Linked DNA regions of Cricetulus griseus. The protein of the gene in region 2 purifies or fractionates together with the protein of the main gene of each other region. This does not show direct contact. Links are inferred from orthologs where the notes say so. Each region holds a gene or a part of one and is shown on either strand. Other genes may lie near its edges. The genes, in order: Mov10, Upf1, Dcp1a, Ilf2, Upf3b, Ncbp1 and Magoh.

Evidence for each region.
Region 1: the proteins of Upf1 (region 2) and Mov10 purify together in Homo sapiens (affinity purification with mass spectrometry; 3 studies listed by BioGRID and IntAct, with this or other methods). This does not show direct contact. The link is inferred for Cricetulus griseus from reciprocal best matches to the Homo sapiens genes UPF1 and MOV10.
Region 3: the proteins of Upf1 (region 2) and Dcp1a purify together in Homo sapiens (co-immunoprecipitation; 4 studies listed by BioGRID and IntAct, with this or other methods). This does not show direct contact. The link is inferred for Cricetulus griseus from reciprocal best matches to the Homo sapiens genes UPF1 and DCP1A.
Region 4: the proteins of Upf1 (region 2) and Ilf2 purify together in Homo sapiens (affinity purification with mass spectrometry; 3 studies listed by BioGRID and IntAct, counting the BioPlex papers as one, with this or other methods). This does not show direct contact. The link is inferred for Cricetulus griseus from reciprocal best matches to the Homo sapiens genes UPF1 and ILF2.
Region 5: the proteins of Upf1 (region 2) and Upf3b purify together in Homo sapiens (co-immunoprecipitation; 16 studies listed by BioGRID and IntAct, with this or other methods). This does not show direct contact. The link is inferred for Cricetulus griseus from reciprocal best matches to the Homo sapiens genes UPF1 and UPF3B.
Region 6: the proteins of Upf1 (region 2) and Ncbp1 purify together in Homo sapiens (co-immunoprecipitation; 3 studies listed by BioGRID and IntAct, with this or other methods). This does not show direct contact. The link is inferred for Cricetulus griseus from reciprocal best matches to the Homo sapiens genes UPF1 and NCBP1.
Region 7: the proteins of Upf1 (region 2) and Magoh purify together in Homo sapiens (affinity purification with western blotting; 3 studies listed by BioGRID and IntAct, with this or other methods). This does not show direct contact. The link is inferred for Cricetulus griseus from reciprocal best matches to the Homo sapiens genes UPF1 and MAGOH.

Annotation. Positions count from the first base shown.
Region 1 is NW_023276806.1:52,175,127-52,178,626, reverse strand, and holds part of Mov10 (helicase MOV-10), read right to left. Parts: coding exon 3,431-3,500; intron 3,137-3,430; coding exon 2,978-3,136; intron 2,746-2,977; coding exon 2,642-2,745; intron 2,476-2,641; coding exon 2,378-2,475; intron 2,290-2,377; coding exon 2,073-2,289; intron 675-2,072; coding exon 557-674; intron 388-556; coding exon 196-387; intron 88-195; coding exon 13-87; intron 1-12.
Region 2 is NW_023276806.1:248,638,407-248,641,149, reverse strand, and holds the end of Upf1 (regulator of nonsense transcripts 1), read right to left. Parts: coding exon 2,724-2,743; intron 2,260-2,723; coding exon 2,098-2,259; intron 2,014-2,097; coding exon 1,796-2,013; intron 1,627-1,795; coding exon 1,507-1,626; 3' UTR 1,504-1,506; intron 1,387-1,503; 3' UTR 501-1,386; downstream 1-500. Other genes in the region: embryonic growth/differentiation factor 1-like, read left to right, coding at 1-454. UniProt on the Homo sapiens protein: RNA-dependent helicase required for nonsense-mediated decay (NMD) of aberrant mRNAs containing premature stop codons and modulates the expression level of normal mRNAs.
Region 3 is NW_023276807.1:189,261,229-189,265,444, forward strand, and holds the start of Dcp1a (mRNA-decapping enzyme 1A), read right to left. Parts: upstream 2,801-4,216; 5' UTR 2,719-2,800; coding exon 2,584-2,718; intron 1-2,583. UniProt on the Homo sapiens protein: Necessary for the degradation of mRNAs, both in normal mRNA turnover and in nonsense-mediated mRNA decay. Removes the 7-methyl guanine cap structure from mRNA molecules, yielding a 5'-phosphorylated mRNA fragment and 7m-GDP.
Region 4 is NW_023276806.1:64,074,791-64,078,896, reverse strand, and holds the start of Ilf2 (interleukin enhancer-binding factor 2), read left to right. Parts: upstream 1-1,306; 5' UTR 1,307-1,433; coding exon 1,434-1,438; intron 1,439-2,177; coding exon 2,178-2,237; intron 2,238-2,676; coding exon 2,677-2,719; intron 2,720-4,106. UniProt on the Homo sapiens protein: Chromatin-interacting protein that forms a stable heterodimer with interleukin enhancer-binding factor 3/ILF3 and plays a role in several biological processes including transcription, innate immunity or cell growth.
Region 5 is NC_048604.1:29,409,222-29,412,721, reverse strand, and holds part of Upf3b (regulator of nonsense transcripts 3B), read right to left. Parts: intron 1,975-3,500; coding exon 1,931-1,974; intron 1,539-1,930; coding exon 1,356-1,538; intron 961-1,355; coding exon 922-960; intron 1-921. UniProt on the Homo sapiens protein: Involved in nonsense-mediated decay (NMD) of mRNAs containing premature stop codons by associating with the nuclear exon junction complex (EJC) and serving as link between the EJC core and NMD machinery.
Region 6 is NC_048595.1:97,282,110-97,285,609, reverse strand, and holds part of Ncbp1 (nuclear cap-binding protein subunit 1), read left to right. Parts: intron 1-2,763; coding exon 2,764-2,852; intron 2,853-3,390; coding exon 3,391-3,491; intron 3,492-3,500. UniProt on the Homo sapiens protein: Component of the cap-binding complex (CBC), which binds cotranscriptionally to the 5'-cap of pre-mRNAs and is involved in various processes such as pre-mRNA splicing, translation regulation, nonsense-mediated mRNA decay, RNA-mediated gene silencing (RNAi) by microRNAs (miRNAs) and mRNA export.
Region 7 is NC_048595.1:41,957,005-41,959,262, forward strand, and holds part of Magoh (protein mago nashi homolog), read right to left. Parts: intron 1,352-2,258; coding exon 1,241-1,351; intron 1-1,240. UniProt on the Homo sapiens protein: Required for pre-mRNA splicing as component of the spliceosome. Plays a redundant role with MAGOHB as core component of the exon junction complex (EJC) and in the nonsense-mediated decay (NMD) pathway.

The DNA.
Region 1 (3,500 bases), about 200 Mb from region 2:
GATGTATGTCACCTTCAAATCCTTGATGTCATCCAGTCCTCGAAGTTCCCGGTCAAGTTTGGTGATGCAGTACCGGATTTTTTCTACCTGGAGGGAGGAGATAGGTTCCTTTTTCTCATGCCATCACCCCACAAAGAGGGAGGCAGAGGCAGGCAGCTGGCCAGGGTGCTGGCGGGCAAAGAGGGAAATCCTGACCTGCTTCCGGTATGGGGAGATGATGCCCACACTCCGGGGGCTCAGGCGGGCTTTACCCTTCTTGGAGGAAGGGGCCAGGAGCTGTTTCAAGTACGATGTCACTGTGGCGGCCTCTTCAGGGTTGAAGAAGGATGGGCTATTGCCCTCTCGCTCATCTTTGCCCATTACACCATGGAAGATGATGGGGAAGCCCTGAACACAAAGTGAGAAGAAACCCTCAGGCTGATCTCCTTGCCTCCCTGCCCTCCAGCTCAGATAGGGAATCAGGGGTTCCGAGCCATAATGACAAAGGGAGGTCTCTGTGCCTTCAGGAGAAGGGAGTCAGGGTCCAGGGATGGAGCCCTGCCATGCTAGGCCTCACCTGTTGAGGCAGCCCCTCCCAGCGGCAGAACCTTTCTCGGTCCACCACATCTGCACAGGCCTGCAGCTCTCCATCATAGTACAGCCGGTTAGGGATGTCCAGGATGGTGGGGTGAGACCTAGGAGGCAGGAGGAGAAAGAACAAGATCAAGGCCCTTTGGGGGAGCCCTGCTCCATGTGTTCCCCCTGCCCCAGCCTCTGGCCCTCCAGCCATGCCCAGGACACATTCATCATCAGTGTCTGCTGCCAGGTGCTATACACAGCAGAAAGCCAAGCCAAAGTGGTTCTAATAAGCAATCAGGCTAGGGCTCTCACTGACCCGCCAAGTTCCTTTTCAAAACCAAGAAATTAGGACCCATTCTCAGGCTTTAGTTTACTGAACAAAAACAGTCCAGAAACAAATTACCATCACCACTTAATTAGGTTATACCCCCAAAATATAAGTATCCACCCAAAAGCATCTACAAAACTTTTACAGTTATCACTGTGTGGTGTGGGTAATCATGCTTTGCTGTGTGGAGGTCAGAGGACAACCTTGTAGTGTCAGTTTTCTCCTTCCACCTGTAAGTGGGTTCACCAGTTTAGGAAATCCAATTTAGGTTGCTAGGTATGTGTTCACCAAGTACTTCTACCTACTGAGCTATCACAACCCTGCCATTTTGGGATGGTGTCTGACTGTATAGCCCAGGCTAGCCTTTAAAATCTGAATCCTGTCTCACTCAATCTCTAAATGCTGGGATTACAAGCATGTGCAACCACAGCCTAGCTTATATTTACCCAACGCTTAAAAGATTTTTATTCTTTTTAATTATGTTAGTGTGTAGGGAAGGGGGGTATGCAGGTGACCATGGAGGCCAAAGGCGTCAAGATCCCCTTGGAGTTAAAGAGTTAGAGGAGACTATGAGCCATGGGTGCTAAACATGGGTCCTCTTCAACACTTTTAACTGCTGAGGCATTTGTCCAGCCCCAGATTTACCAAACTCTCACTGACGGTCTAGAACTCACCTAAGCACTGACGTTAAACTTACTAGAAGAAATTCGTAAGATGGTAAGGGTGGAATGTACCTACTGTCCTAGATACTCAGGAGGCTGAGGCAGGACTGCTTGAGTCAAGAGTTAAAATCAACCTAGGCAAAACAGGCAGACTTTGTCGCAAAGGGGAGAGGAGAGTCGGGGATGTACATTAGTGGTAGAACACTTGCAAGCAACATACATGCAAGGTCCTGGGCTCAAGTCCCAGCACCCCACAAAAGTAAAAACTGCAAGTACATAGGCCTCAGCTGTGTATGTAATTCAACTAACAATGGTTTTAAGGAAAAACTTACACTCCCTTTCTTTTTCCTTGTTGGATTGCCTAGAAACTTAGACCCATCCAGACACATTCTGGTCTGATGACCTCTAATATACAGGTAAACCACTGGTCCAAGAAACAGCTGCCTGCTAAGTCACAGGACAAGTAGCTGTAAGGGGGTGACCAAGGAGACATCCTCTTCTACCTGAGGCGGGGACCATGATACCTGTAGTTGCGGAGCAGTTTGGTGATGAACTGGGGGTCATAGCCATTGGGGCCCTTCTTGTATAAGGAGTTGTAGGTGAGTAGGCGCTCCAGCAGAGAGTAGCCAAGCCCATGCTTCTGTGCCAGTGGTGAACGCAGCACAGGCCCCAGCTGCCGCGGGTCTCCTGCCAGCACTAGCTGCCCTCCTGGATTGCCCGTTTCCTTTACATCCAGCAGTCCTGAGAGGCACGGGAGAAAGAGTAAATGGTGGGACTTACCCAGTTGGTGTGGGGTGGTGTACCTATAGCCCATCCTGAGCCCCCTCACCTGCTATGGCCACCAGACTCTCAGGCTCCATGCAGTGGCCAGCCTCATCGATGAAGATGTGTGTGAAGTGATCGATGGGAAACTGGGCTGACACCAACCTGGGAGTGTCAGGCCAAGCAGGGGTCATTCCCAGGCACCCAACTACCAAACCTGAACTCTGGCCCTTCATTTCACCCTGCCCTCAGGGACCCTTCCTCTTTCCCTAGCCCTACACCACTTTACTTTTTACTAGCAAGCGAGAAAGAGATCCTATACATCCCTTACCTGCTGGCAGTGATGAGGGTGGTAATTAAGACCCGATATTGCTGGAGATGCTTCTTGGCAGGATATACATACTCTCCCTTTTTAGGATCCCAGTTACAGCAAGTCTGTGGGATATGAAAGGATGTGAAATCGGCTTGGCTCTTTGCTTTCTCACTCTCACCCTGGCTCTGGACCCTCTAACCAACACTTATTACCTGCCTCCCTCCCTTTGCTGGTAAGAAAACAAAAGTCCCCACAGCGGGCCTGACCCACCCGAAGTCACACAGCAAGTCTTTAGATGCTCTGAGAACCTCCCAGGCATCCATCATCACTTGGCCTTCTGCACTTCCTGCATACCTTAATGTCCTCAGGTACCATTCGGATGTCCCTGCTGGGGGCCAGAAGACGGTAGATGGAGCTGGGTAGGTGGACCCGGAGCCGCTGACAGAGGAGGTCAGCCCCTGAGTTGGATGGAGTGCAGGCCAGGATGTGGGCTTTGGGCAAGAGCTTCACTACCTGAGATAAAGAAAACAACAGTATGGGCAGAAGCTTCCTGTGACGGGGACTCGGGCTCCATCTGCCTCCCAGACACCTGATAGTCTAGATTTCTTTGGTATTGGATATCTGCAAATTCACCTCTGCATGTTTACACACCAACACTCAACAGTCATAATGACCATAACTCCCTAACTCCTCTTTGGGTGACTGTTCATATAGGAACATTCAGTTGACTAGAGGGAATCAAAATTGAAGACAAATGCTGGGGCTGAGTAATTCAGGGTAGGCCCTGGGATTGTGCTTCAGCCTCACCTGCTTGATGGCCTCCACTAATGTGACAGTCTTGCCGGTACCTGGAGGCCCAAAGATGATGTAGGGGGCA
Region 2 (2,743 bases):
GCTGGACTGTGGAGCCGCCAATGCCCACGTGCGCCTGGCAGAGGCCTCCCTGCTGCTGGTGACACTAGACCCGCGCCTGTGCCCCCCGCCGCGGCCAAGGCGCCACACAGAGCCCGGGATGGGCGCCGGTCCCGGGGGCGCGTGTCGCACGCGACGGTTGCACGTGAGCTTCCGTGAGGTGGGCTGGCACCGCTGGGTGATCGCACCGCGCGGCTTCCTGGCCAACTTCTGCCAGGGAGCGTGCACGCTGCCCGAGCCCGGCGGGCCGCCCGCGCTCAACCACGCCGTGCTGCGCACACTCATGCACGCGGCCGCCCCCACTCCAGGCGCAGGCCTGCCCTGCTGCGTGCCTGCGCGCCTGTCGCCCATCTCTGTGCTCTTCTTCGACAACAGTGATAATGTGGTGCTGCGGCACTACGAAGACATGGTGGTGGATGAATGTGGCTGCCGCTGACCACCCGGGACACCCTCATAGGGACAGCCCCACGCGAAAGCAAGGACCATTTGTTCATGTTTTATTGGTGACAAAAAGCTTAAAACAAATTTGACCAAAAATTAAGTTCCATTGCGTTGACGCAGGTGTGCCTGGGTAGGGGTCGGGGGCCACTGCGGGAGGTTGGGGCAGAGCGCCCAGCAATCAGGCCTCCACCCACGATGGGAAGACCCCGCGGGCCAACACGCATTGGTCACGCTCAGGAGTTCGCCTGCAGCTTCTGAAGCTCAAACTCAAAACAAATCCTCTGGCCATGGTGCAGACGGTGATCCCAGGCTGCGGGGCTCAGGCTTCTCTGCGTTGCCTCTCTGGAAGCTTCTTGTATCTCCCAGGTCCACCACTAAGGTCTTAGAGACAAACTGATCAAAGTACTTCCCATACTCCTTTGAAAGAATCTCTGAAAACAAAACAAAACACCCCTCCCCCCAACCCCAAACACCGTGTTTTCTTTAAATGAAACCCCTTAGCGCTGGGACGTGCGCGATGACGCTCCTGGCCGCCCGCTCGGGCACAGAAACGCTTAGTTCGTCCTGCTAAAACGTAGCCCCTCAATCACGAGAAACAAAGAAAAAGAACAGCGGGCCGGTCCTGGCGAGGCCTCTCCCTCTGGCGGGCACGGCGCCGGGCCGGCCTCGCAGCGGTGCGGGCCTCTCTCCTCTCACCGCCCGCAGGGGGCGCCCGCTCCTCGGCGCTCCGCTCCTCTCCGTCGTCCTCCCTGGCCGCTCTCAGCTCGCTCTCGCTCCTCTCTCCTCTCCTCTCCTCTCCTCGGCTGCTCACACAGTGGTGCTTCAGTTTTAGCAGTGGAAAACAGGTATCCATTTATTTTTATTTTTTATTACCCAGAATAAGATGCTGATAGACTAAGCCACATAGCTTAGCTGTTCCGCCGCCACCTGTGATCAGGGACAGGGTGAGAGGCATCAGGGCCAAGTGGAGGCAGAACCTGCCCACACCCCGTATCTGTCTACACTAGTGTGTAGGCAGATAGCTGGGCCTACTAGGACACTTGCCTTCTAGTACTGGGACAGCCCGGTGACCCCGCCATGCTGGTATGCCCGCTCCCCCTGGTATGTGGAGTCTTGGGAGAGTGCCACATCAATCTGTGATTTAAACTCATCACCGAGGTAGCTGTCCTGAAAGGCAAAGCAAGAGTGAGCAAGGCAGGACACCCACCAGCCCACACCCACCCAGGAGTGAGACCCTGGAATATGGTAAGAATACAGCCTTAGTGGCGGGTGACTCGCCCTTCAGGAAGGTGCCCCATTCCCCCACCCCTCTGCCAGTATGCTGATGAGGGCCCACCTGGGACAGTTCTGGCTGGGAGAGGCCGGGCTGGCTCATCTGGGAGGGTTGGCTCATGGACACATAGCCCTGTGTGAGGGCGCCCTGGGAAAAGGGCTGTGAGGCCACATCCTGGCTGGCCTGGCTGTTGGGAAGGGTGGTCTGGCTGGGCCCAGGAAGCCCGAAGCGGTTCTTCTGGCGTCCTCCACGGCCAGTCTTGCTTTTTGGGGTACCCCGGCCTGAAAGACAGCAGTGAAAGACAGCAAGCTCTACCTAAGCCTATCAAGATGAGGACTCAGCATGGTGATGATACAGCCACTCACCAGCAGCTGGCCCATTGGCCTGTCCAAAGTATCCAGGCGGCGGCATGGGAGGCATGACCAAGTTGAAGGGAATGGGGATGTTCATGGCAGCCACATGGCTGGGACCTGCGCTGATCATGCCAATCTGGTCGTGGGTCTGGAAGTACATGTTTGATGGCCGGCCTGCAAGACACCTGGAGTCAGATGCAGGGTCCCAGAAGACAATGCTGCAGTGAACTAGCTGCTGGGCCAGCCAGCTAAGGAGACAAGCAAGAGATGGAGTGCGTCTCCCATGCAGGGTGCTAGTAGAGCGTAAGGAATTGACACAGAAGGGTAGGTGAAGCTCTGGCCACGTTGGAGCTTTCTAGGCAACTCAGAAGCTTCCAAAATGCAGAGGCCAGCTTGGTGGAGGTGGACACAGGCTTGCCTCCGAGGTGCCAGTACAAACCCAGAGCATAGGTTAAAAGCCTGGGAGCCTAGAAAGGGTCCAAGGGCTTGGTTGGAGAACCCACAAAGACTCACTGGGCAAGCTCCAGATGGAGGCAAAGGCCAGCCTGGGAGGCCACTGGGTGTGTGTGTGTGTGTGTGACAGATCCAGACTGGGACATGGGAAAGTCAAACATACTGCGGTTACCAGGAAGACTTACCCTGGCTGCTGCGGTCATAG
Region 3 (4,216 bases), on a different chromosome or scaffold from region 2:
TAATCAATGTTCAATTCAACATGTCTACATCTGTAGCATTTTTCTATTTTAAACCTTAAGGACCACTAAAAAACAAAATACCAGAATTAGCTTTACTTTTTATTTTTATGCATTAACTTTTTTAAAAACTAAAAAACCAAACATACATGTTTGCCAGTACACACGTCTACGCAACATGTGTGCTGGAAACTCACAGAGGGCACAAGAGGGCATTGGATCCCTTGGAACTGGAGTTACAGATGGATGTGAGCCACCATGTGGGTGCTGAGAACTGAACCCAGGTCTTCTGAAGAGCAGCCAGTGCTCTTAGCTACCGAGGAACCATCTTTCCAGTCCCAGCTTTAACTTTGCCAAACCTAAAACCTTTCAACAAGGTATCTTAATGTTGAAGTATTTTGTGTTGCAACTTCAAAAACAAACAAAAAAACCTGACCAAACTTTAACAGTCTATCAAAGTTAATAGAAAAAGAAAGTAAACTGATACCAGGGCTGAACTCAGGGTCTGGGGCTGATGATGTAAAGCTGTATACCACTGAGCCAAATCCCTAACTCTCAGGAAATTTTCTTATATACTTTGTTTCACCTCTGGAGAATTTAGGAATATTTTCATTAGTAACAAATTTTGTGGTTAGTTAAGGACTACTACCAAACACTTTGTTAAGAATCCATGGATAGACCTCATTCTCAGACGTAGGCAATTCTGGTAGGTTTTTAAAATAAACATTTGAAAATTTGATTAAGAAATAACTTGGGCTGGATATATATAGCTCAGTGGTAGAGGTACAGTGCTTGAATAGGATCATGAGGCCCTAGGTTTGATCTTCTGCACTACAAGAAACAAAACAAGAAAATACAACCCATTAATATTCTTTCATCTGTTTTGACAAGAATATAGTCAGGTTTTAGGCACAGGCAGAGTGCTTTTATTTTTTTCTAAAACCCCAAAATCCTGTCAGTCTGTAGTTCTTGGCTTACACTGGATCTTGATAATTTAAATGTAACCAAAAGATTATCAAAACTTAACGTTATATCAAACAAATTGTTGTGATAAAAAATTAAAAATAAAGATCTGTTTCTTGTACATGTCTTCTACATCACAATGAAACTTATCCTTCTTGAGGCCTTTTCTTGCTTTAAAAAAAATGCTCTCATCAGAAAAAGATGACAGCCAGTTGTCTCAGAGTAAAAGTAAACTTGCCTCCCAAAATACATTGAGCAAAATTACAACTCACCACTAATAAATAAGAAAAGATGATGGTGAATGCACCATGTATCAAGATCCAAAAAAACAGCAGCTTAGGTTTCAATTTCATTTTAAAACAACTCCATGGTGAAAATCCTCAAGTGTTGCAAGCCTTTGTGAAAAACTACAAATAGGTAACAGTTATAAATGCTACTTGCAAATTCTCACCAATTGTCTGCAGCCCTTATGTTACAAATTTACATATAGAGGAAGCAGAGAAAAATGATACAAAATACTTCAAACTAAGGCACTGTTTAAAACAGGTATACCAGTAAAACAGTTTGTAATTTTATTCTCAGTGGCTTCCTACATCCCTTTCCCCTCCAGAAGGAGAAGGAAAATGATTATGGAAACTTCTTCTGACGTAAACTTTCATAAATGACAATACACTTCCACAAAATTACATCTATGTATCAGTGTCACAGTGAATAAAAGTTAGACCAGTCCTTCAGCGTTTTGTTAGTTCAAGGACCTCATTACTTGTTGAAGGGTGAACGCCTATCATTGATGAATTCTATTCAATCAACAGTTACAGATTAAAGGCATGAAGCTTTTACAGTTGAATGAATTAGAAAGAGTCAGCACAAGAAAATGGGAAACCATGTAAACAACTGAAAGGTACTTTAAGTTGAAGCTAACAAGTCAGTGAGTAGGCACTGTAACTTTTTGGAACTCCATCGCCACTCACAAAATCTAAAAAGTCCTCAGATGTGAGCCATCAAAGATTAGGTATCACCGGTCTCTTTTCCCTGCAAAAGGTCTCCAAGGAACCCTATTCTTACCGTAGTGCCCTTTCCTTAGATGCCTTGAAATCTTTCCCCAAACTCTAGAGTAGTTCGATTAAAGCGGGACTAACTCTTGAAACTGATTTTTTAAGCTTCAAATCCAAATCACCTCATTTAGGTAGGTTGGGGGGAGAGGGGTGGACTTTGTGATTAGACACATGTAATTTATCTAATAGTTCTCAAAGTCTGAAACACAGATTTCAGTCACAAAAATACCTCCCCCCCCCAAAAAAAACTAACTTGTCTCATATCCTTCCAATGCAACCAGTAAAAAAGTAAAATTACTCAAGTCCCCAGAACCGACCCCAAAGGACTGATCCTGCCTCATTCCTCCCCTCCATTAGATCTTCCCTGCTATATTTCTCCCGCTTCTTTCCTCCAATTCCGCGTGCCCCCGTCACCCCTCTGGTTCTGGCCGGGCCTTTAGGAGAGGTTCTGGCCTCGCCTTTGCGGTCCTGCTTCACTCCCCCACCCCCAATCCTAAGCTGCCTGCGCGGCCCCTTTAAGAGGCGGCAGCGGCCAGGTTGGCACCCTTCGCGGCTGGGCCTCACTCACCCACTGGTTGGCCTTAGGGCAGAAAGTGTACAGAGCGACCTGGCCCGTGAGGTCTGCGATGCTGGTGATATAGGGGTCGTGCTGCTTCAAGGCCGCCAGACTCATCTCTTGCCCTGCTCTACTCAACGACTCCATCTTGAATCCCGGAGCCGAGCCCCTCTGGCGGGGGCGGACTAGAGAACAGGAAAGTGCAATCCAGGCAAAGTTCCCCCAGCTCAGTCAGTCCTTCACTTCCGCCTAGCTGCCCGGCCTTGCGGAGGGTGGTACTTTAACTATTCTGTTCCGCCACTCCCACATCCTGGGAGCCTGGTTCCGGTCTCCGAAGGTCCGCATCTGCCGGAAGGTACTGGCTGGCGTCCGCGGCTGCGTGTGACGAGGAAGTAGCCCCCAGTCCTCGCTCACCTGGTGGGACCCGAGCTCCTTCCACGAGCACTCCCGGCTGCTCTCGGCTGCTCCCGGCTTGTGTCAGCCGGCGGGACTCCATCGCAGAGGCTGTCTCAGGTTCAGGCGCAGAATCGAAATGCTGCTGTGGAAATGACGTCTCCATGGACCGTTTAGAAAACTCAGAAAGTGTATGTGTGTGTGACTGTGTGTCTGTGTCTGTGTGTGTGTGTCTGTGTGTGTGCTGTATGTTACCTCCGACCTCAGACTGTGTGTGTGTGTGTGTGTGTGTGTGTGTGTGTGTGTGTGTGTGTGTGTGTGTGTGTGTGTGTGCGCGCGCGCGCGTGTGCGTGTGCAGTATGTTACCTCCGACCTCAGACTGCACCTTCAGACCTTCAGTTAACAATTTGGTAATTTTTGAAAGAAATGTTTCAAAGCAGCCAAACTAAACTCGGAAAGAGTGTGTGTGATCGTTTAGAAAACTCAGAAAGTGTGTGTGTGTGTGTGTGTGTGTGTGTGTGTGTGTGTGTGTGCTGTATGTTACTTTACCTCCGACCTCAGACTACACCTACAGACCTTCAGTTAACAATTTGGTAATTTTTGAAAGAAATGTTTCAAAGCAGCCAAACTAGCTTGCCTGGAATTACACAGGACTCCTTTTCTTTTGCCCTTTTCTCATATTTTTTTCTCATCCGAGTCCCAGGTAAATATTTCTATTGTTCCAGATTAAAGAACGTCGTTATTTAATACGAAGATCACTTTAAAAACAAACAAAGAGCAACTGGGAGGTGGTGGCACAGGCCTTTAATTTTAGCAGAGACAGGTGGATATCTGAGTTCGAGGCTAGCCTGATCTACAGAGCAAGTTCCAGGACAGCCAGGGCAGTTACACAGAGGAAACAAAACAAAACAAACCCCAAACATTTATTGGGCATCTTAAGTAGTGAGGTACTACTAAAAAGTAAAACAAAATGCCTACCCTATTTTCACCAAATTGCTTTAAAAACCATTTTCCTTTATTGAAGACACCTTGGTGTAATTGAACATTTTTGAAAAAACAAACTACGTTTTCATCAAAACAACACCACATATTTGTATTGCTTATAGTTTTACATCCCAAGATCATTTACTAAAGGAAGAACAAACTTTACATTCTTTACAGAATCGTGGGAAGCAAGTACAAAAGCAGGGAAAGTAACCTATTTATTCACTCTTCTGTCATGTATACTTTAATTGAATTTATAGAGTACTGG
Region 4 (4,106 bases), about 180 Mb from region 2:
AAGGTTTATTTTATTTTAAATTATGTGTATGTGTGTATATATGCTTGTGTGTGCAGTGCCCCAGAGGCCAAAAGAGATCTGTTGCTCTCTAGTCGTCGCTGCCAGAGCAGTGCATGCTCTTAACTGCTAAGCCATTTCTGAGATAGCTTTCCAGCCCTAATGAACAAAAAGAAGTCTAAATCCATGATAGCAGAAATCCAGAATGGTTACCTTTCTGAGGTCACAAACTTTTGTTTTTTTGAGACAGTATCTCACTATCTGGCATAGACCGGTTATGTAGACCAGGCTGACCTTGAACTCACAGAGATCCTCTTGCGGCTGCCTTCCAGGTGCTGGAATTAAAAGCGTGTTCCACCATGCTCCGCCAAAATATTTGTTTTGAAAAAATTTTCTGTTAAATTTATTTATGTTGTGTTTATGGGTGTCACCACAGCCACAGCACACATAGTGAGGTCAGAAGACAATATGTAGAAGTCGCTGCTCTCCTTCGCGTGGGTCTCAGCAGCTTACACCTGCTGAGCCACCTTGCGGACCCGATAAAATATTGTTTATTTTAATCTTGGTGGGGTTAGGTTACTTGGAAGAAATACACGCCTACAAAAGTACACAACACATCAGTACTTGTCAGAATCACACAACACAGGGAAGTGGGGAGGACGGGGTGGAATTCGGGGAGGGGAAAGACATGATCAAAATATATTGCATGAAAAGTATTTTCAATAAAAAGAACTGTATAACAGTAATAACATCGAGGGAATAATTGTGGTAAATAAGACTCAATTATCCCTGATATTTTCGTAGGGTAAAATTATGTTTTCAGGTGAGGTGGCACACCACTGACATGCAGGCACTTGCAAGGCTTGAGGACGTAGAGATTGCTGTGAGAGTGAGGTCAGCTCGCGTTCCATTAACGAGAACTTTGTAAGCCGGGGTGACCAAGCGAGATGCTGTCTGGAAAAAGCAAAACCAAAAACAGCTGGAGAAGAAAAGACAAGTTTGTTTTATCAAAGCGAAGGCAGGAGGCCGTAGGAAAAAAACAAAGTCTCCGATAGCAGAGGATGGTTTCGATCCATCGACCTCTGGGTTATGGGCCCAGCACGCTTCCGCTGCGCCACTCTGCTATCCACTGCTCAAACCCCTTACTGGGCCCATAGAAGACCTTTACTAGGTCACAGTCCGGATTCTGAGCGCCCCCTAACGTTAGTGTAGAAAATTGCCTTCATCCCCGCTATTGTCTTCCTATTGGTTGGCTCCTTATAGGGCATTTTTTTCATTGGTTGCTGAATTGACCAATAATCACAAGGGACGGAACGAGGCGGGAGCCTATCGCGCCGGCGTTTGTTGGGACGCCCTGGCAGACGCTTCTCTGCGGACCTGATTCTTCTAGGGAAAGGGCGGTTTAGTGTCCTCCATTGTTCAGGATTAAGCGAGCCATGAGGTAAGTGGACAGAGGTTCCTGAAGGCTCCTCCAGAAACCTCGGGAGGGCGGCCTGAAACGGAGGCGGAGGACCAAGGGCCTGATTGTGGGCGCCTGGCGGCGAACAGGCCGGCGAGAGTGGAGTTGGAGGAGGCGGGTGGGGGCGGGGAATCGGGCCTGGAGGGGGCTGGGCCCAGCCTGGGAGCTGGTTTAGCACCTAGGGCTCGGGATGGTGTGGAGAGCCCTCACGGACCAAAAAGAGCATCCTCGGTCTGCAGGGAGAAGGCTGGAGCGCTGCGCATTTTCTAGCGCCTAGTGTTTGACCAGTAGGACGTGCCTGGTAACTGTTAACGCTGTGCTGAAAAGAGAAGGCACTTTACTCTGTTAGGATTGGCGAGTCTCACGGTCGTGGGTCGCTTGGTAGGGGTATGTGTGTCAGTCAGGGTCTTCACCTCATATTTTCCTGATGTGAGCTTTGATAGAATCCAGAATTAGAAGTCGGGTGTAGTGTCGCGCGCCGCAATCACAGCACTTGGGAGGTAAGGCAACAGGAGTACATAGGACCCTGTCTCAAAAACAAAAGGGGAAAAAAAAATCCAGAATTAAGACGTCGTGGGGGTGGCGTTGGGCACCATTTGGAATTAGGGAAAAGTGACTTCAGTAGTTAGAAGCGGTTGAGGTAAGTCAAATTGAATTAATGTGGCTGGTATGATGGAGACGTTTTTCAGCTAGGTGAAAGTAAAATGTATGTATTTTTTAGGGGTGACAGAGGACGTGGTCGTGGTGGGCGCTTTGGTTCCAGAGGAGGCCCTGGAGGAGGGTGAGTGTGGCTGTTTGCATCTTTGCCCCGGTTTGTTCCAGTCATCTAAATAAAGGTTTGGAGTGGACTGCTGAACTTGATTTTTGTGAAGGTCATGTGAAGCATTTCTTTTCCTGATATTCTGCTAAGTAACTTTAGCCTTTTGCTAAGAATGATATGGCTCAAAAACTCTGGAATTCGCCGGGCATTGGTGGCGCACGCCTTTAATCTCAGCACTCCGGAGGCAGAGGCAGGCGGATCTCTGTGAGTTCGAGACCAGCCTGGTCTCCAGAGTGAGTGCCAGGATAGGCTCCAAAGCTACACAGAGAAACCCTGTCTCTGAAAACAACAACAACAAAAAACAAAACAAAAAAACCCCAACTCTTAAAAGACAAAGTTGGTGAATTGTGTACTCACTTGCTTTCTGTTTAAATAATTTTGGATTGTTTTTGTGTTTCAGGTTCAGGCCATTTGTGCCCCACATCCCTTTTGATTTCTATTTGGTGAGTACTTGGCTTTGTGGAGGACTTTTCTGCCCACTGTGCAAAAAAGGGAGCACAGAATCTCCTTGTTAATGAAGTCAAGTATTGTTTGGAGTAGATTTGTGAATGAATATGGTATTGTTCATATTATGGTACAGAAATATGGTTCATAATATGATACAGAGAAAGAGAGTCTTTCTCTGTATGCCTGGCTGGCCTGGAACTCAGTGTAGACCAAGCTGACTGCAAATTCACCATCCTCCTGCCTCAATCTCCTGAGTGCTGGGACTATAGGCATGCACTGTCACATGTGGCTTAAGTTTTTATTTATTTAGTTTGAGTGCTAGGGATTTGAACCTAGGTCCTTAGCATGCTAAACCTACAACTCCAACTCCTAGTTTTATTTTATTATTGCTATATTTATTCATTACATATCACTATATAGGTATATAATATGGCTGTATCAGTAGACACAGGTTTGGTTCCCAGCACTAATATCATAGTGTACATCTGTCTGTAATTCTAGTTCCAGAGGATCTTATGTTTCTGTTGACTTCCACAGGCTCCCAAACACAGGTGCACATACATACTCTGAAGTGTTCACACATATACAATAAATAAATAAATATTCAAAAACAAAGCAATTGGTCAGCCAGTTTTCAAAGTGGCTGTAATACTTTTGTAATCCCAGGAATGGATGCCTATGACAGGAGGACCATGTTCAAGGTTTAAGATCAGCCTGGGATACAATAGTAAACTGTCTCAACAAAAACAAAACCGAGAAAACAGTGTAAACTTGGTAGGGAAGATAATTTCTTTAGTTTGATATTTAATATTTCTTCTATTATATTTGGTTATAATATAAAATAATTTTAGGATTTAATTTTTTTGTTGTTTGTTTTTTTTTTTTTTCGAGACAGGATTTCTCTGTGTAGCTTTGGAGGCTGTCCTGGAACTAGCTCTTGTAGACCAGGCTGGTCTTGAACTCACAGAGATCCTCCTACCTCTGCCTCCCAAGTGTTGGGACTAAAGGTGTATTTAATTATCTTTGAGACAGTGCCTGTATATATAATTTTGTCTGGTTTGGAACTAATAGGGATCTGCCTGCTTCTGGTTCCTGAGTTGCTAAGGGTGTGCACTATCACACACACACACACACACACACACACACACACACACACACACACACACGGTGGATCATACCCCCCCCCCCCAGGATTGTTCTGTGTAGCCTTGGCTGTCCTAGAACTCACTATGTAGACCAGGCTGGCCTTGAAACTTACATAGATCTGCCTGTCTCTGCCTTGTCCTTCCCCACCATGCTGAGATTAAAGTTATGCACCAACATGGCCCAGCTACAGTGGATTCTTTTTATTTCATGTGTATGTATACCCCCTTGTATGCCTGG
Region 5 (3,500 bases), on a different chromosome or scaffold from region 2:
AGTCAAATTACTTGTGGCATGGTGGACAGAGACTCAGCTGGAAGGAATTGAGGTGTAAGCTTCCCCTGTATCAGCAATGTTGAGTCCAAAGGAGACTGAGGAAACCCCAGCCCCCCCTCCAGTTGCTGTATTTCCAGAAAGGAGAAGAAGGCAACCATGCTGTCATATCTGTTCTCAGACTTTCTGAAGGTCTAGCTGTTGAGTACTTCTCTGGGATATTCTCTGGGATATTCACTGGAGCAAGGACTGCCCAAGCCATGCCCTTGGGAAGGAAGCAGCAAGGCTGAGATCTTTCTATAGGTTTTCCTCTTCCTATATGCAATGTAGCAATAAGCGTCTGCTGATCACAGATTTCTAGATGCTAGATGGTAACTTGGGAATCACAGGAGAGGGGAAAGCAATTAAGGCAGGGTATTTGTCAATACTTTCCCCCCAGGGCAGCCAGTTAGGAGAAGTATATAAGAAGATGAGAAGGTGCTATATAAACTGACTTTTCTCTGGTTACACAGCAGAGCATCAGGGTGTCACTTGCGCGCCCTCTATTTTACTCTGTCCTATTTTATTGAGGTAGGTACTGGAACTGCAGGCTAGGCTGGCTTCACACTAAACCCTTAATGAATCATCATGCCTGGTTTGGGGTTTCCTTTTTTTTTGTTTCTCTGTCAGGCTGGCCTCAAACTCACAGAGATCCGCCTGCCTCTGCCTCCCAAGTGCTGGGAATTAAAGGCGTGCACCACCAACGCCCGGCTGGGGTTTCCTTTTAAAGAGAGATGTCAAATAGCTCAGCTTTCACAAAGATCCAAGTCAATCTGAAGGGGTTTCAGCACGTAACACTACCACCACCACCAAAAGTTGTTATTTGCTAAAACCTGTGTGTATGACATGATACTAGGTGCTCTGTATCATGTACTTGATCCTTACATTTTTCTGATTCACAGCTTGTAACAGAAACCTGTGTACCTGAAGACAGTGGAAAACAAACAGATGAGGCAACTTCATGTATCATTTATGAAAGAAAAGCTGAAAAAAAACCCCAAATGCATGCAAGCCAAGCCTAAGTCCTCATTTACCAGGAACTGAGAGACTAGCAACCCACATAGCAAACATTATTAGTGACTTAAACAAAACAGGTCTGCAATGAAGGACAATAGCATTGGATAAACTACTGAATGCTTCTAAGTCATCTTAAGCTTAAAGCATAGCACTATTAGTATGATAGGAAATCTTTTTATTTCTGTAACCCCACAAAAGTGCAAAAAAAAAAAAAAACAAAACTTGCAACAACACCAGGCTCATGCATAAATAGATACATGCAGTTTTCAGTGACATGCAGTCCATTTCTGTTGTTTTCATACCTTAATCTTTGGTTCATCCTTTATTTTTTCTCTTTCTGGAACTCTTTCTATCTTCTTTAGCTTTTCTATATCTTTTCTTTTTCGTTTCTCCTCTTCTTTCCATTTTCTTCTCTCTTCTTCTCTTTGTCTTTTCCTTTCTATTTCGCGTCTCCTCCTTTCTTCCCTCTTTTCTTCTCTCATTCTCTAGAAATACCAACACAATCCTTCTGATTACATAAGTTCCAAAACCCCAACTAGCCACAAAGGCATTATGGATGCCTGACTTCTTTCCTACTTTCTACAACATCCTTAATACCCATTCTCTGGAGAATTAAGACTGGAACGGGACCTGATCCCACAGTTTCCTCTGTATATTCCCTGAGGTTTCTAGGGAATGTCTCTGGGACAGCAAAGCTCTCTCCAGGTCTGCAGGGTAAGCCCCTAGCCCACCACCAACATGAAGATGGCTAAAGAAACTAGATCTTTAAGGGCTAACTGTGGGAAGATAGCTATTTCCCATGTAGGATCCCAAGGCTCTCAAATGTTTATACACTGTGAACTAATAAAGAACCAGAACTACAAAAATGAACACTCACCTGCTTGTTCTTCAGGAAGCTCAAAAGTGGGGTTGTCCTTTTAGCTATAAAGCAAAAGAAGATTATTAATAATGCTTATCAAGCCTGGAAAGGATTTCATTTTCAGCTATCCCTTGCTACCCACTGAAGATGGGGGAATTACACCCCTTACAAAAACCACCCTAATAATCCAAACAAGTTGTATATTGTTCTATTTCAAAATGCTGGCTTAAAATAAATGTTTAAAAAAGTGAGTGAAACTGGGTGTGATGGCACACACCTCAGGAGGCAAGAGGATTAGGAGTTGAAACTATCCTTGGCTATATGGTTATATTGTTTTTGGTCAGCCTGGGACACATAAGATCCTAGCAAAAATAAATAAATAAATAAAAAGACACCGAGAAAAGATAGTGAATAAACTCCCATTGAAATACTGAAAGTTGGGGCTGGAGAGATGGCTCTGCAGTTAAAGAGGACTGGCTGCTCTTCCAGAGGCCCTAAGATCAGTTCCCAGTACCTACAAGGCAGCTCACAATCTAATGTCCTCTTCTGGCCTGCAGGCATACATACAGACAAAGCATCTGTACATAAGAGAATTACTAAAAAAAGAAATACTGAAAGTAATTTCTAGTTGGTAAGACAGAAGTACATTCTTATCATATAGGAGTATAAGTCTGTTGGACTGGAAAGAAACTGAGGGCAGGGGCTTGCGCTACAAATACCTGGTCTATTTCTACTTCTCGGAATTTATTCTAAGGAAGCTACCAGACACGAGAACATTCTGCATATTCATTAATAGAAACCAAGCTTTAGAAAGTTATTTAAGTGGGCTGGAGAGATGGCTTGGTGGTTAAGAGCAAGTAGTGCTACTGCAGAAGACCTGAGTTCACCTCTCAGGATCCACATCAGAATTCCAGCTCCAGGCAATCCGAAGCCTCTTGTCTCCCCAGGCACCTGCACCCATGTGCATATCACCTCCCCCATATTAATATTAAACAGTAAAAATGGGCTGGACACAGTGGCACACTAGGGAGACAGAGGCAGGAGGATCTCTGTGAGGTCATCCTGGTCTACAGAGTGAGTTCCAGTATAGCCAGGACTAGAGAGAGATCCTGTCTCAAAACAGCAAACAAAATAAAAATAAAAAAAAATGAATTAAAAAAAATTTATTTGGGACTGGAGAGATAGCTCAATGGTTAGGAGCACAGGCTGCTCTTAGAAGTCCTGAGTTCAATTCCCAGCATCCACATGGTGGCTCACAACCATCTGTAATGAAATCTGGCAGCCTCTTCTGACATGTAGGCATACATGCAGGAAGAACACTGTACATACAATAAATAAAATTTAAAAAAAAAGAAAAAAAGAAATTTATTTAAATTCATTGAACATGTCTTTTCTTAAACTTTCTTTCTTTTTGTTTGTTTAGAGATAGGGTCCAATAAGGCTTAGGCTGGTCTGGAACTCACTCACTATGTAACTAAGGATGGTACCCTTTTTTTGTTTTTTTTTTTTTCAAGACAGGGTTTCTCTGTGAAACAGCCCTGAATGTCCTAGAATTCACTCTAAATACCAGGCTGGCTCTGAACCTGGA
Region 6 (3,500 bases), on a different chromosome or scaffold from region 2:
TCTTGTGGAGACATATTCCCTATTGGGTTCCTTTCTCTGACATCACTAACCTGTGTCAAGTTGACAAAATTAGCCGGCACAATTGACTCCTTGTCAGTTTGACATACTTTACTTAAGACATAACCTTTCCCTTTTTTTTCATCTCCAGTATCTCAGATTAATAAATAACACAAATATAAAACATATTACAAACGTAAGAACCCAACAGTCTTTACCAATGCAAACACTTTGGATTTTAAAACTTTTAAAGTCTCAAAAATAAGTTGCTTTTTTATTCAAGAGGCAAGAACCAGAGCACATTCACAGTCTGAACAAAGCAAATCCAAACTCCCACCTATAAATAACTCTGTGTCCAATGTCTGGGATCCACTCATGATCTTCTGGGATCCTCCAAGGATCTTGGGTCTCTTCTCTTGCTTCACTCTCTGCAGCACACACAGCTTGTCTCTTAAGCTCTGGCAGGTTCCACTCCATCCGTGCAACTGTCCTTGGTCATACCATGTTACTGGCCTCTCCAAAATGCTGGGGTCTTGTCTGCAACTGGGCTGCTCTTTCACCAATAGCCCTTTCCGGGGCTCTCTTCACAGTGCCAAGCCTCAGCTACTCTTCATGACCCCTTTGATCGTGGGCCTTCAACTGCTGTGGAGGCTGCACCTTCCTCAGTGGCTCACCTTAGGTTCTGAGCCTCAGCTGCTCAGGGATGGCACCATCCACAATGGGCTGGACCCTCTCCCATGATCACTAATTAAGAAAATGCCCTATAGACTTGCCTACAGCCAGATTTTATGGAGGTATTTTCTCAATTGGGGTTCCCTTCTCTTAAATGACTCTAGCCTGTGAATAGTTACATAAATTTAGCCAGCACAGGGACTCACTGATTTGCCCTGGCTGTCCTAGAACTGTAGGTAGACCAGTCTGGCCTCAAATTCAGTGATCCACCTGCCTCTGGCTCCCTAATGGTGGATTTAAAGACCACAATACCAGGCATATGTTAGCTTTTTGATGTGAATTCTAGGGATCAAACTTGGCCCTTCATGCTTGAGTAGCAAGTATTCTTATGCACCAAGCCATCTCTCCAGCCCCCCCCCCAAAGTATTTTTAATAAAGGTGCTGTATTCTGCTTCTGTGCTCTCACTCGGACTGTCTGCTGAGTTCAGTGTCTTATTACTGTCCATGGGTTCAGACTGTGATCGGTAGCACTCACATGTACCTTTCATACCCTCTCAAGTATCAGGTAAGAAGAGTGACTCTTCACATTCTAGTACTTTCAGTTTTCTCCAGATAAACCTTGGCTGGATAGCCACAGCAACACAGAAGTTAACAGTTCAGAGATATGACTATGTGCCTGTATTTTCTCATTGTCTTTAGAAAGTCTGCCTTGTCTCCCCAAAGCAGTGATTTCTGTGTGTCAGGCTTACAAGAGGACATGGAAGAAATGTTTGGAAGACAAAAATGGTTGCAAACTGGAACAATGTATAATTAGGAGGGCTTTGGGATGTGATAAAGGATTAGTATAGTAGATGGGCCAGAAGGAAGGAAAAAGTTTGAAAAGGTTTAGAAAAACAGCTGCTCTCATTCAGCTAGTTTTTCACTCTGTATTCTCTGACCCTCACCTAAAATCTGGTTCTGAATAATAATGAAGAACACTGTTGGTGCATTATGCATTCTGAAGCAGTTTCTTAGCATCAGCACTGTTAAGTTTAAAGTCATACTTTAAATAAAAAATTTCCAGCAGAGTCAACTTGTTTCTAAATCCTTATTTCAGCAGTTTCTGCAGTAATTTAGTTACATCATCAGTTTAACAAGTACGGTTGACACTATGAGGTTTAGGAACCAAAAACTGTGGGTCAGTAAGCAAGTTAAAAGAATGGAAGCAGCAGTACTCAGATTATGGGTGTTTGGTGTGTTGGTGCCCTTCAGTGTTTCCGAAGAAGTGGACATTGCTTACACAAATCTAACTGAAAAAATGCCTCCTGACATTATTCTTTATAGTGACCTTAATAACAGAGACAATGTGAGGCATTGGAAAGATGGCTCAGCAGTTAAGAGCACCAACTGTTCTTCTCAAGAACCTCTGTTTAATTCCCAACATTCACATTGTGTCTTACAGAAGTCCATAACTCCAGTTACAAGGCATATGAATCTCCCTTCGGGCCTCCACTGGCTCCTGACATACAAGTGGTACATAGTTATACATATAGCCCAAACATCTGTACATATAAAATAATAAAAAAAAATTAAATATATATAAACGCACATGCATAGAGAGGGAGAGACTGGGGTCTGGAGAGGTGGCTCAACAGTTAAAAGCATTTACTACACAATCATGAGAACTGGAATTTGGGTCTCAGCACTCTAAGTGTGTGCAGTATATGTCTTTAACCACAACTTCAAGAGAGTGAAGACAGGAGGATCACTAGGAGTTACCATCATCCTAGCTAAGAAAAGTGAGCCCCAGGTTCGGGAGAGACCTTGCCTTAAAGAATAGTGTGGTGGAGGACACCTAGCACCCTCTCCTGGCTGTATATGAGTGTACTAGCATGGGAACCTGTATACATGTGTGCATCCACTTACGTACACACAAATCTAAAAGAATGCGGGATAGAAATTGTCCAGGTATACCTAGACTAGTTAAAATGTGATTGGTTAGAGCTACTCTAAAAAACATAGTCTGATGGAAAAGAGGTTAAAGGCTAACAAGGTGACAAAAATTGTGATAGTAGAGTCATCATGTAATTTTTTTTTTTAATGTTTCTGAAATAGGTGGACAACCTCACAAAAGGAGAAAGACCTCTGATGCAAATGAAACTGAAGATCATTTGGAATCTTTAATATGCAAAGTAGGGGAAAAGGTAGGTATGCATCAAACCCAGGGGTTAGGGTTGTGGCTGACAGCTTTGATTAATTTCTGAAGTTGTAGTGGGTGATTCAAGTTACAGACAAAGTGTGTGTTATTACTGCACATCTGTATCCCAATGGGAATGTGTTTTGGTAATTTTCATTAGACAAGCCTTAAAATAGACCTGAGGATAGTCCTCAGCATGATGACCTGAAGCAGACTTGGATACCTCAGACAGCAGAGGGTGATTAGTGAGAGTGATGGAGCACAGCCCATGCTGTCCCCACACTTGGGATGGATGCACATTCTGCTTAGACTGTTTTGAAGATTTTGTTGACTCTCTTTTCATAGAATATAATTCTAATGAACAGTAACTACTCGGATTTATTACTGCTAAGTGAATTTTCTACAAAATTGTCCTTAGTTCTTATTTTTCTTCCCCACAGTGCCTTATAGAAGACCTTAATGTTTTATGGTCATCTAGGAATTTTAACTTTTAAGTCATTGATTGCTTGAGCGCTAACAGATAATTAATGTGATGTCCTCTGCAGAGTGCCTGCTCTTTGGAGAGCAATCTAGAAGGCTTGGCTGGTGTTTTGGAAGCTGATCTTCCTAACTACAAGAGCAAGATCTTAAGGCTTCTTTGTACAGTGTATGTATG
Region 7 (2,258 bases), on a different chromosome or scaffold from region 2:
AGTTATACCTGTCTGCCACTCTAGTCTCTGGTATCCCCTAAAACTGGCATGTATTCCTTCCACTTGCTTTTTTAGATTTAGTAGCATACTTTAAAAATAAATGGCCATACGTGATGTGTATGTATATGTATGTGTGTGTGTGTGTATATATATATATATATATATTTCATTCAATATTGTTTCTAATATTTATCCATGTTGAACTACTCAACAATTTAAATATGTTGAACATAACATTTCCTTACTGAAGCAGACTTAAGTTCCCAATTTTTGCTATATCATTTACAATGTGGCAAGAATGTTCTAGGTCTTGGGGCTGAGCTCACAGTAAACATTTTGTTCTAGTCCTGAAGTTAGGTCCCCAGCCTCACCAAAAGTATTTTTTTACTCTGTCAGCTCCTTATCCTAATGGCTTCCTAATGTGGCCATACTGGTACTTTATTACTGCCATCAGTGTATGAGCTCTTTCTATTCTTTTGAAGACCTGGGTGAGGCTTCAACAATGTGATGTCCCAATTTTTACAGGTTACAAATGTACCTGTAAATCTTTTCCATGTTTCCTGGCTACTTATTTGAGTCTATAAACTGTCTATTTATATCCTTTGCAACATTTTACCCCCCTGGGTTATCTTTTTATTGGTTTATAGTTCTTCACATATTCTTAGAGAAACTCCTTGTCAGATATTTTCCAGATCGTTTCAACTTTGTTTAGATGCCTTTGGTAAAACAAGTTTTAAGTTTAATTAAAGAAGTCAAATTTACAAATCTTGTCCTTTAAGGAAAAAAAAAGATATTTTTGTGTTTTGAGATGGGTCTCATTATATACCTTTGGCTGGCCTAGATTCCAGAGAGACCCACCAGCCTCTGTTTCCCACTTGCTGAGATTAGAGGCATGTGCCAACATGTTCAGCACAATTTACATTTTAAAAGAACCTCCCTGGCTTTAGGATAGAAATGTGGGGCTATACAATGCAGGAGAAACACAGAAACCAGAAGTATGTAGTATAGTAGTGGCAGTCGAGGTAAATTATCTTTTACTTTTTGGTTAACAAAATGGTAACATGGGGCTGGAAAGCTCGCTCAGTGGTTAAGAGCAGTAGCTGCTCTTGCAGAGGACCTGGGTTCCATTTCTAGCACTAACATAGAATTAATGATTCTCTCTCCCTGCCAAAATGTCCCATAGAGCAGTAGTCCACATCTCCTTTGTAAGAAGTACAAGTACAATCAATAAAGCACTCACCTGCCGGCCTACTCGGTCAGGAGGGGGCCACAGAGCATCATCTTCTTTGGTGATTTCACTGTCATCAATAATTCTCTTTAATTCTTCCATCACACTTTTATGTACATATGCCTAAAATCAAGTTTAAAATACATGAGCCTCTAGGGGCCATTCTCATTCAAACCACCATACCTCAACAACATTCTGACCCAGAAAGTAATGGGAGATAAAACTCCTAAAGACCTGTTTCTCAAACCTCCATGAGGAGGGTTCAGGATCAAAAGTACCTAAAGACAGTAGTCCAGCTCCCCAGCTACTTGTTGGTATATCCTGTCTGTCCACATCAATGTTTTCTCTGTATTCTAGCTCATGCAAAAAAAAAAAAAAAAAAAAAAAAAAAAAAGAAAAAGAAAAAGATAGGATGCTGACTCGGCATAAAATTAACAGCCAAATGGTATGATGGTATACTTGACCGTTACATTTTTTTCCCCTTTTTTCTAGACAGGGTATCTCTAGCTTTAGAGTTTGTCCTGGAACTCAATAGAGATCCCCCTGCCTCTGCGTCCTGAGTGCTGGGATTAAAGGCATGAACCACCACTGCCCAGCCTGACTGTTATATTTTCAAGTGTGACTGAGTGGTTAAAAGGAAACAGCAACAGGGCAGTGGTGGCACACACCTTTAATACCAGCACTCGGGAGGCAGAGGCAGGGGGATCTCTGTGAGTTTGAGGCCAGCCTGGTTTACAAAGCTACACAGAGAAATCCTGTCTGGGAGTGTAGGGCAGGGGGCAGGGCAGGGGGGGGGGTGCGGCAGAGTTTTGATGTAGCTGTAATGTATGCTAGAAATCATAACAGAATGGAATACATGAACTTTATTGAAATATAAGTATGCCTAAATTTTGGCCATTATTTCTTACAAAGTAAAGCAAGAGTAACTTTGAACAAGCCTCAGATTTAATATCTGGGCCTTAATTTCCTATATATATATTTATAGAATATTCTGTCACATAAGTGTTTAAAATCAGGGTTAAAGAACATA